3 linked regions of the Struthio camelus genome follow. The protein of the gene in region 3 purifies or fractionates together with the protein of the main gene of each other region. This does not show direct contact. Links are inferred from orthologs where the notes say so. Each region holds a gene or a part of one and is shown on either strand. Other genes may lie near its edges. The genes, in order: BET1, VAMP3 and STX7.

Evidence for each region.
Region 1: the proteins of STX7 (region 3) and BET1 purify together in Homo sapiens (affinity purification with mass spectrometry; 3 studies listed by BioGRID and IntAct, with this or other methods). This does not show direct contact. The link is inferred for Struthio camelus from reciprocal best matches to the Homo sapiens genes STX7 and BET1.
Region 2: the proteins of STX7 (region 3) and VAMP3 purify together in Homo sapiens (affinity purification with mass spectrometry; 3 studies listed by BioGRID and IntAct, counting the BioPlex papers as one, with this or other methods). This does not show direct contact. The link is inferred for Struthio camelus from reciprocal best matches to the Homo sapiens genes STX7 and VAMP3.

The regions. Positions count from the first base shown.
Region 1 is NC_090943.1:28,177,565-28,181,309, reverse strand, and holds the start of BET1 (BET1 homolog), read left to right. Parts: upstream 1-1,599; 5' UTR 1,600-1,906; coding exon 1,907-1,925; intron 1,926-3,745. UniProt on the Homo sapiens protein: Required for vesicular transport from the ER to the Golgi complex. Functions as a SNARE involved in the docking process of ER-derived vesicles with the cis-Golgi membrane.
Region 2 is NC_090962.1:232,357-236,101, reverse strand, and holds the start of VAMP3 (vesicle-associated membrane protein 3), read left to right. Parts: upstream 1-1,212; 5' UTR 1,213-1,342; coding exon 1,343-1,344; intron 1,345-2,649; coding exon 2,650-2,731; intron 2,732-3,552; coding exon 3,553-3,711; intron 3,712-3,745. UniProt on the Homo sapiens protein: SNARE involved in vesicular transport from the late endosomes to the trans-Golgi network.
Region 3 is NC_090944.1:71,940,280-71,944,024, forward strand, and holds the start of STX7 (syntaxin-7), read right to left. Parts: upstream 2,418-3,745; 5' UTR 2,313-2,417; exon of another isoform or gene 2,296-2,312; intron 2,125-2,295; exon of another isoform or gene 2,096-2,124; intron 1,891-2,095; exon of another isoform or gene 1,747-1,890; coding exon of another isoform or gene 1,707-1,746; exon of another isoform or gene 1,634-1,706; intron 982-1,633; exon of another isoform or gene 855-981; intron 1-854. UniProt on the Homo sapiens protein: May be involved in protein trafficking from the plasma membrane to the early endosome (EE) as well as in homotypic fusion of endocytic organelles. Mediates the endocytic trafficking from early endosomes to late endosomes and lysosomes.

The sequences.
Region 1 (3,745 bases), on a different chromosome or scaffold from region 3:
GGGCACTTCTCCCTTTTTTGAAAGAACTGATGTATTTCCCCAAGTTAATGTAAATTAAGTCTCAATTCATCAGTGGTGGCAGCTTTCAAACTCATATAAGAATGGCTGAGTTTCAGATAAAATTCTATGGAGATTTGCCTCGTACTGCATAGTATGAATGGCAATTTTGCAGTTTGTTTCTTCTCCCTTGCCTTCTTCTCCATTTTCTACATACGCAAATAATGCTTTATTTGAAATTTTGGATAGACTGTTCAAAGTCATTAGCAAATATTACATAAACTTTAAGGCAGATTTCTACATTATATTCATTTTACTCTTCATAATGCTCTGAAACATGGGCATTCAGGTGTGACTGTGAAGAAAATAAATGAAGAACAGCTTGTCAAGGTTTGTTTTAAAGTTTGGCTGATACAAGACTAGTAGCTCAGTTCCAACTTTGACAAATAGAAAAAACCAGAAATGCTGCAATTATTCGGGTTTTACTCATGGCAAAAGGATACATGAGCTATCTTATAGCAATACAAAGGGTGTCAGCTGGGGAGCACAGGCTTTCATGTTGCCCAGTGTTACTCTGTTCTTCCTTCTACACCTTTACCCAGCTAGATAAAGGCTTGTTATATTGCAGACTCTTGGAAGCAGGACCTTTGGTCTGTGTTTATACAGCTTGTATGATACAAGTGGGTCTTAGTCCAGCACTGTGTCTCTCAGGCTCTACCAGAACACAAATCGCGAGGGAATTAAGGGGATGGTAGTTCGTTATAAATGGAGAAGCCAGTTTAGCTTCTTTAGTCCAGTGGATGCAGCACCAAAAATAGCAAACTAAATTGACTCCATGACGTTGTTTGCTTTACGCTTGAGGACTGATAAACCATTCTGGTTTCATCCTGGGAAATAAATTCAATACAATGGCATAAAGAATGAGTCACATCTTTAATAAAAAAGGAGATAAAACCAAGTTCTGACAAAGCATTACAAGAGGTTAAAGTGTATAGTGGAGAAGAAACTATCTTTGCAAATGAAATTTGAATCATTATGAGCACTGAAGAATCAATAATAATGAAATCTGGAGTTTTCCAGTTTGAGTTGCGGTATGCTGCGGTAGCTTGCCTGTTGCTTACAAAATAAACAGGCCAAAAGAGGGGTGGGCTCAACTCAGCCCTCCGTTTCCATTTTTTGACCGCATGCTACAACTAAAGACAATCATTGAGAATCCTTCCTTTTTCTAACAAAACAACAGGGTACTGATGACCTGTTAAAATGAAGGCTGAGAGGCTTTTATTTTTTCTTTCAGGATCAATTCTCAAAGTTTAACACAATCTTAAAGAAGTAATTTATTGCAGAAATTCATAATAAATGGTTATATTCAGTAGAGCTTGCTCCTTTTTTTTTTTTTTTTTTAAAGATACAGGAAAGTAACAACAGGAAAGCAGCGATGCACCTGCCATTTCCAAGGCCTGTTGGGAAAACACGCGGTGCCCCGAGACCCAGCAAAAGGCGGTGCCGGTCCAGGGCCGCAGAGCCCCTCGGGGTAACGCGCCCGCCAGAAGATGGCGGAAGAGCCACCCCTGGGCCTGGGGGAGGCCTGAGGCTCTGGGAGGGGGCGTCTCCGTCAGGGAGCGCGGCCCTAGCGCCGCCCGCCGCCCTCAGGCGCCAAGGGCCGGGCCGCGGCTGCCCTCAGCGGCGCTGCCGCCTCACCGCCCCCTCCCCCCCGAGAGAAACTACACTACCCAGAAAGCCCCGCGCGCGGCGGCCTGCGTTACCCAGCGGGCGGCGCGGCGGCGGAGCGATGTCGTGGCGCTGGCGGAGTGAATGAGCCGGGCAGCCGAGCGGGAGCCGGGCCGCAGCCGCCCCGCCGAGGTCCCCTACCCGCAGCCGCGGGAGTCGCTCCCCTCCCCCGGGCACGGCCATGAGGCGCGCGGGGCTGGGTAAGCGCCGGGTCGCGGCGGGCCCGTTCAGGCGCCTTGTGCTGCTCGGCGGTTACAGAGAGAGCGGGAAGCTCGGCGGGAGCGGGCCGGGGCCGGGCCGGGGGAGCGGGCGGTGGGTCCGTGCTCCGCAGCCGGCGGCGGTGCCCGCGGCTGGGCCGGCCGGGCAGCAGTCCCGCCCGCCGCCTTGGGGCCGCGCGGGCTCGGCCCGCCTCGCCGTGCCCCCGCCGTGGGGTGGCGGGTGTGTGGGGCGGACGGCTCGCGATCCGCCGGCGTGGGCCGGCCCGCTTCGCTTCCGAGTCAGCGTCGCTCGGGGAGCTGCGCTGGGATGTCCGGTTATTCTTGTTCCTGTGTTGTCTCGGGATGGTTCCAGTGCAGTGCCAGCTTGAGCCATTTTCCATGCATGGACGGATTTGTCCCTCTTCAGTCAAATCACTTCCAAATTTTCAGATGCTTTTTAAGTTTAATGCTTCTGTATGTTTTCTTGCTGTGTTTGGTGTGTGGGGGGGAACCCACTGTCATTTTACAGCAAACATAATCTGGTGGAAATGCAGAAGTCTGTGAGAGTTCCTGCCGAGTTTCGAGAAGCTCGAGGCCCATTTTTTGACCAGCCACGTCGATGCCAGTGAAAGAAACTTTGAACTCTTGTGCTATGTTGTAGGACCTCATAGGTGCTGTTACCTCGCTGCAAAACTTAGACAGTGTGGTGAAGTTCATGCCCCAGAAGTTTATGACCAAGTTCTGTTACTTCTTCCTAGAAAGAAATTTCTCTAAGTGAATGTTTGTTGGCTGATGAATTCTGCATAGTTAGACCTATAGTCTCGGTAATACTGCTCTAGACTTACTTCTCCACTTTTTTGTTTTGTTTTTAATAGTATATGTACAAGTTAAAATAAATCTTGGAAATGCAGAGGCTAGATTGAAAGTCAGCGAGCTCATTATGCTGTTTCTGAAAGTGTGAAATAACAGATGTCTGTGAAAAGAATACAAGAAGAAGAATGTGCTTTCTTCTAATGTCTCTGGCAATCAACGGCTTAGAGAGTAGCCATGAAGTACATCTTTAAAAAAAAAAAAAAAAAAAAAAAAGGAAGGTTAAGAAGAAACTTAAACATCTTTACGGCTGTTATCAGTTGCAGTAAAATTTGCTGGTAGCATGCAGGTTTATTAAATTTTGCCTTGTCATTTCAACAATCCATCTAGAATAATACATTTTTTTTTATTAGGCTGAAAATAGGAGCTTGGCAGTAGTACTTCTGCCGTTGTCTCCAGGTACCTCATGCCTTTTTTTGTCTCCAGTTATGCTATGGTCACGTCTATATTACGTGTCCTGTCAGGGCAGTAATGAGCCATGTTACAAGATGGTCTATGTAACTGCCATGCTGAAGCGTCTGCTCTTCTTTTAAACGTTAGTAGCCAGGTTTCTGTAGCATTTTCAATAGATATAAGTAGATGTGTCTATTTAAAAGCTTTTGGACAGTTGTTAAGAGATGTTTGGGACATCTCTTATGTCACAGTCTGTATAAGAATCATATAATTACAGTATTTTAGTCACAAGCTACATGGTTTATTAACTTATAAGCATATATTAAATCTTAAATCATTTGATAGGAAGTACTGTAGTTAGATGCCTTTGTAGAACAAGGACCGTGGACACACCCTTAACTCTAAAATGGTTCCTTTTTAGTCAACTTTCTGCACTTGGCATCAGTGTATTTGATTTTAAAAGCGAACAGCAACTCTCCTCTTGCTGTGTTGAAATAGAAACATGCATTTTTACCCAGTCTTGCTGAGGCTTTGTCATTGAATAAGCTTACAGAACAAAA
Region 2 (3,745 bases), on a different chromosome or scaffold from region 3:
AACGTGCAGCCTGCTCAGCAAGCTGGGTATGCCTGCTGAGGGCGGCCTGCCAATTACAGCAGCGTGTCTGCCACTGGGCTGGGGGAGGGGGGGGGAAACACTCATATTTGGGCCTCCCTGGTAGCATAACCACACAGTTCAGAGGGCTTTGAACAAGCAACACCCCCCGCCCCCGGCACAAATCCTCTCAGTCCCTGTATGGCGGGGTTACCTGCTTCACAGGCACAGCCCACATCGAGGCCTCTGCCGATGCCTGGTTCAAGCCCGCGTGCCCGCAGCCTGGCACCAGCCGCTCCCACCAGGCGTTGCACTCACGCAACACGCCCCGGCCACCCGCGGGCACTGCCGGGCTGGACCGGTGGGGAGAGCCGGAGCGGGCGGAGAAACCCCTGCGGCGCCTGACGCAGCGGCGAGCGCCGCCACAGCCGTTCCCGACCTCCCGCCCCGCCCTCGCCACCACCTCAGCGGCCCCGGCGCGCGACCCCCCCCCCTCCCCAACGGCCGCGAGGCGAGCCCGCCAACGGCCGCGGCGCGCGACCCCCCCCAACGGCCGCGAGGCGAGCCCAACGGCCGCGGCGCGCGACCCCCCCCCTCCCCAACGGCCGCGAGGCGAGCCCGCCAACGGCCGCGGCGCGCGACCCCCCCCAACGGCCGCGAGGCGAGCCCCCCCCCCCCCAACGGCCGCGAGGCGAGCCCGCCAACGGCCGCGGCGCGCGACCCCCCCCCAACGGCCGCGAGGCGAGCCCAACGGCCGCGGCGCGCGACCCCCCCCAACGGCCGCGAGGCGAGCCCCCCCCCCCAACGGCCGCGAGGCGAGCCCAACGGCCGCGGCGCGCGACCCCCCCCAACGGCCGCGAGGCGAGCCCGCCAACGGCCGCGGGGCGCGACCCCCCCCCTCCAACGGCCGCGAGGCGAGCCCGCCAACGGCCGCGGCGCGCGACCCCCCCCCCTCCAACGGCCGCGAGGCGAGCCCAACGGCCGCGGCGCGCGACCCTCCCCCTCCCCCTCCCCCTCCCCAACGGCCGCGAGGCGAGCCCGCCAACGGCCGCGGCGCGCGACCCCCCCCCTCCAACGGCCGCGAGGCGAGCCCAACGGTCGCGGCGCGCGACCCTCCCCCTCCCCAACGGCCGCGAGGCGAGCCCGCCAACGGCCGTGGCGCCCGACCCCCCCCCCGCCCCCCAACGGCCGCGGCACGCGCCGGCCGCCCCGCCCGCTCGGGGCTGTGGCCTAGGCAAGGCCCGCCCCGGCTCGTCACATCGCGAGGGCTGGCGGGGCTGCGCGCACTTCCTGCCGGGCGCGGTCGGACGTTTTCGGTGGGCGGCAGCTCGACCCCGGCGGCAGCATGTGAGTGTGGGCCGGGGTGGGCGGCGGGCCCGAGGTGGGGGGGGGAGCCCGCGGCCGGGGGAGCCGGGGCGGCGGGCGAGCGGCGCTGGGCGGGCCGTGCCGGGTCGGGCGGCGGCCGGAGCAGGCCGGACGGGCGGGCGGGGAGGGGCGGGGCGGGGCGGGGGGCTCGTGGGAGCGGCTGTGCCTGGAGCCGTGAGGGGCGCTGCGGTGGCTGAGAGCCGCGTAGTGTCGCTGGCCCAGGCACTGGGGCGTTCGTCTTCTGCTTAGGGTGGGCTATCCTGTCCTGGTTTCTTCAGGCCAGTCTGAAGGGGCTTCTGTCAAGTCTACCAAGGCGGTCTAGTCTTGGATTAGCAGTGAAAGAGTATAAAAGGGTGACCTCGCTGTCAAGGTGTAGGAGCAGTTCTGTTGTCATACATGTGGACTGCTCTTGAGCCCTGTCATAGGCTTCCTGGTTTGCTCCTTGTACAGGTACACCTTTGTTCCCTTTAAATGTAGATTTAGGTTAAAATGTATAAATATAGCTAATATTCAAATTCATCTTTCTTATATCAAGGTGCACTAAACAGTAGTGTGTCTGATGCAGAATGGATGAAAATACAGAAGAGCAAATTGAGTACAGCTAGTCCTAGAGACGGATAACAAAAAGACATTAAAGCCGCGAAGAGGGCATGGGGAATGTGTAGAGAGGATCTTGGTTCAGTTACAGAGATGCAAAGTGTTGCAGCTGGTAAAAGGAACTAGATTGCCTGACCTTAGGAATTAAAAGCTGACCGCAAGTAAATTGCTGTATGCTGAATGCTTTTTCCTCATTGTGCTTTCTCTGGCTCCATGCCAACTGTTTCAAACAAAACGGGTAAGCACTGGAAGAGCGTGTAGTTAGAATAACCATTAAGTTTCTGTATTTCATTTTTGGAAAGCTGCTGAGTCTTGAAGCTTAGTATTTGCATTCTTTCTGAAGAAAACACCCCTGAACCCAAGCTCTTGAATGTTTGAGCCCTATGAGCCATTGTAGAAGTCACTGTATGCCTTATTACAAGTTGCATTATTAGCCAGCCACAGCTGTCTTTTAGCACTTCAAGCAATTAATTCACTGGCAGGAGGTTTTAGGGCACAGCTTGATTTATACCCAAGGTCAGTGGTTAAAACCTCATTTCTCCCATGGGAAAGGAAACTGCCCCATATTTCTTCCAAGGATCCAAGGTCCCTGTTTTCAGGAACAGCAGATAATTTCTAAACTTAAGCTTATCAACTTGAAGAAAATTATAAAAAGTGATTATAAAATAATGATTGCTTTCCTTAATGCAGGTCAGCAAGCGGCCCTGGAAGCTCAAATGTTGCTGCTGGCAGTAATCGTCGTCTTCAACAAACACAACACCAAGTAGATGAGGTAAAGGTCTAGTCTGATAGCAGTGTAATTCTGTCTCTTTCAGAAAACCTGATAAGCAAAATAGATAAGCTTTGGCCGCAGCAGTTATTATTCCTTTATGTGAAAGGGAAGCCTAGTATAATTCAGCTTTCCTTATTATACTTGTATCACTTTGGGTCTTGAAAAGGTTTAAAACAAAAAACAAAAAAAAGGGGAGGGTGAGGGGTGGCAGCATGTCAAAAAACTTCCATTCTGCTGTTCTGCCGGAGTGGGGAGAAGTTGCCAGCGTCTAAAGGTTAGCTGCAAACTCTATGTCTGAGGATTGGGCGTAAGTTAAAATAGTACCCTTTGTTCTTACAGAGAACAAACTTTTCTTTCCTCGGTGGCAAAGGCAGCTGATCGTCTCCAAATAAGACATGCCCAAATTTCTGAGGAATCCAAAAGCCGTTAACGGTTAAGAGCAGCTTTATCTGCTTGAACAGGATAGCACTTAAAATGAATTGCATGTCAAAAATATTTTGTCAGTCATGGTAAAATGCCTCAACTCCTTCTGAAGTAGGTCGTAAATAATTTCCCAGGTTTCAGGGAATGCCAGCACAACTTAGAGAACTTTTCTGCAGTACTGACGTTTGAAAGTAGGTATTAGGAACTTCCAGCTGCATGTGAAATGCACATTTTCACTGAAGCTCGCGATTAGATTTCCTAAAAGGCAATTGCTCCTACTCCTTAGGAGAACATTAAAAATATCAAAAATATCAGGTATTGGGATCTGTTGTCTGCAATTAATCTCTCCAATGGGTGATACAGTTGATGTACTTACTGTAAGTGTTAAATTGATGTAGGTGGTTGACATCATGAGGGTGAATGTGGACAAGGTATTGGAACGAGATCAGAAGCTGTCAGAGTTGGATGACCGTGCTGATGCGCTGCAAGCAGGAGCTTCCCAGTTTGAGACCAGTGCAGCCAAACTGAAAAGAAAGTATTGGTGGAAGAACTGTAAGGTAACTGTGGCTTGAATACTTGAACTACTCAGTA
Region 3 (3,745 bases):
CCTTATACTTAGGCTGAAGTATTTTGGAAAAAAGAGATCATACTTTCCACCTTGTGCTTCTGCAGTTCCTAACATGCTGCATTCCTGGACCACAAAGGGACTCTGGGCACTTCCACAACACCAGAAAACCTATGGAGCGTAATATACATGCAAACAGAACAGGCATAAAGAGTATTCTTCCCTTTCTACTTAAAAGGAATACTAAAGACTCTGGATGTTAACTTCCATCATCTATCTTCAGGCCAAAGTCAAACTTAAATCCACACAGGGTACTGAGGAACAACAAAGTCTCTTTAAAACTTCCGTTGTTCTTATGCAGTAAGTGACATAGACGACATCAGACGGTATTTTTCTATTTCACTCTGCTAAGTTACTGCATACGTTGCACCCCGCAAATCAGTCACATACAACATACAGTAAAATGCTTTTTCAAAGCTGTGTCTACAACCAATATGGGGACGGTTTGATTTCCCTGACAAAGTCTACAGCTGTCCAGTTAATTGTCAGAGTAAAACGGAAAGTGTTTAATTTTTGTAGATTTTAAACTAGACTGCTAACAATTTCTGATTTACCACAGTGACAGAATCACACAGGCTGGGGGCGGGGGGGGGGACTTCAGGAGGTCTCTAGCCTGACCTCCTGCTCAAACCGGAGTCAGGAGTGAGTTTAGTCAAATCCCCTTTTCTCCGGGCTAAGCAAGCCCAGTTCTCCCAGCCTTGCCTCAAAAATTAGGCTGAAACACACCAAAACCAAGTTTTACTTTATGTAATTGCTGGAAGTATTTCTTTTTTTAAATATGAAAAATAAGAATTATCAGACTGTGCAACAAAACACGTTAGTTCTCAAGGAAATACCTTAACAAGGGGAATTATGTTCCCCAGAGAACACAGAGCGTTTAGAGGCCTGACAGCGAAGCTGGAACAGTAAAACACACACTGGATACTGGAACTATTGGGGAGCGAAGGAGAGGGAGCAGCTGGGCTGAAAGAGGAATGGAGATGGCTTTTTCAAAGTGCCCCGTTCCTTATGATCCAGGCTAACAACATCTTACGAGAAAACGAATACAGACCAACGCCACCGAACACCTAGTGCAATACACCTTTTCTTATCCAAACCTCCCTAAAGAGAGCTTGTGCACCTTTAACCAAGGGCTCAGATTAAGTATATTGATGTAGAAATCATCTTTGCGTAAGGTTTGATTGTGCTAGATGCTGATTCTCTCCAAGGCCCACCAAGACGATGACTTAGAAATTAAGACCATGAGGAGTATGCAAAGAGCATCTCTTCCACCTATGCCACCAACATAAGAGTAACTTAGTATTTGCATATGAGGTTACAAAAGATATTGTCATGCAGGATATACAAATACAGTTTATGGCAATGCCTCAACGTAGCATTTAGCATCCCTGTTTTAACGTGTTTTAACTTCTGTTTTCTTCTTTCCTTTTGCTAAGAGCACTCACGTAAATCCCAAAGCTTAAAACAGCAGGACTGCAGTGCCGCCGAAACACATGACGGTATGACTATTAGTCACGAATCCTCCAGGCAGCTGCACAGCACTCGCCCTGCCGGCACATTTCTGCAGCTGGGCACTGCTTGTTTATCAGGGGAAAGGGTGAGAAGACGCGGTCACCTCAGTCCCGGCCATAAGTATTCCCAGGTTTTACCATTAAGTGCTTTGCACTTCATGCAGAGCAGAGCCAAACCTTTCACTTCCTCCTGTAGTTGCAAGTGTCTGCGTCTCATGCGGCAGCAAGGCGCTCAACGAGAAAAGCAGCGATAACGCTGTGCCACAAGCCCAAAATGCCAGGCCCAAGCTCACTATTTAAATATCCGTCTGACTTTTATAATCTTCCTTCCCTCCGCTGACGTGTTTTGCTCATCTGAGGTCTGAAACAACACGGGGAATGTTTTGACACGGCGACGCTGAACATCACCACGGAAAACCAGCCCCGGCCACACACGTGAAAACGCACCATACCCTGTCCCAAATACCGCCTTCAGGCCCCATTTCCCCCCTGGACACACCAGAGCTGACACAAACGTTACCCCCCCCCCCGCCCCGGGGCGCTGGCAGGGCCGCGCCGCCCCTCACCGCGCTCCTGGCCGCCCCTCTCCCGCCGGGCCCCGCGCCGCCGCCGCCGCCGCCAGGCCGCAGCCCGGCCGGCCCCGCGCCCCGCTGCCGCCCGGGAGGCGGCCCGGCCCGGCCCGGCCCGGCCGCCAGGCCCGCCCGGCAGCCGCCGCGGCTCCCACCCCGCCGCCGCCCCGCTCCGCGCCGCGCAGCCCCTTCCCCACCCGGCCGCGGGTCTCACCGGCCCCGGCGCGCCTGCTCCCCCGGGCGCGGCGGGCGGGCGGCAGCGAAGGGGGCGGGCCGGGGCCGGGGCCTGGCCGCCCGGCACAGCGCGGCGCGGCGCTGCGCGGCACCGCCCCGTGCCGTCCCGTCCCGTCCCGCCCCGGCCCCGGCCCCGGCCCCGCCGGGGGCGCCAGTGGGTGAAGGGAGAGTGGGTTTGGGCGCTGTTGGGGGGCTGGTGCCCCGCTGCGTGCCGACCCTGCCGGCCGAGGTTTCTGGGTTGGGGGGGTGTGGGGGGGTTGTTTTGGTTTTGTTTTTGCTGTCTGCATGGGTTCAGGCTTGAAAAGGCGGTAGTCCTTCGAGGGTGCGTGCAAGGCAGTGCGCACGCAGAAGAAAAAAAGGAAATGTGTATGCACTTTAGCCAGCTTGTCAGCACACTGTGATCGTGCATGAGTGAAAGAGTTGCCTATGTGAGAATGTCATTTAAGGAAAAGATGCTGTTGCAGCAGAAGTTTATATATTTATGCACGAGGTAGTGGTGGAACAATGAAGAATTCAATGTCATTACATTGACTTCCATAGCATCCTTCGCTGAAGCACGACTTCCAGTTCTGGTCACTTCATCTCTAAATGGAAGTGGGCACTTCTAGAGGCTGAAGGTGGGTGGAAAATGATAAATTTATTTAGAGGCCTGTAATCAGTAATTAGCTGAGAGAGAAGGCAAGAAATGTTTAGAATAATGAAAAATGAAGGGTACATACACGCATTTGTTAGCAGTCAGTTTAGTGTGTCAGTAGTAACTGATGGTATATAACTGCAAATGCAGCAGAAGACGTGGTACCAGGAAGCAGAGCCAGGAAATGGGGGATCCGTTCCCCTCCTGACCCAGTTACCTGAGAAAAAGGGACAAATGAGCCTTTAGGCCTCTTGCATCGCAGCTGGGAATGCTTCTGGATCCTGCTTGTCTTTTTGAAGGGAAAATTACAGGGTCAGATGTTCTCCAGCGCGCTGCAGGCTGGCCTGCTTGGTGTACAAGACGCTCCCGTGTACATTAAATACAGCAGAGCAAGCAGTGCACGGTATGTGATTGCTCTGGAAAGTAATCTTGTCAGCAAAACCCAGCTTTGTCTAAAGACGAGCTACAGACATTGGAAGGTGTACTCATTTGCCAAGCCTTGACCTGCCTCATAGGCACGGTAGTTTACTTCTGCTATGACATAAAGCTCAGTCATTGCTAAGGTTTAGAAATAATCAGAACAATGAAAACCTTAATAACATCATAATCTAGTAACACTAATAAAGAAGTCCAGTAAAATACAGAGTTCGGTGAAGTTAAAAAGCCTGAAGTATCTACCCTTTTCAGAAAGGGTGCCCCTGACATAGGTGATTTTTAATGTGTCTCAAAGTATGCTGCAATGAGAGACAATGTAGTCTCCAAGACTGGTATAGCTACAC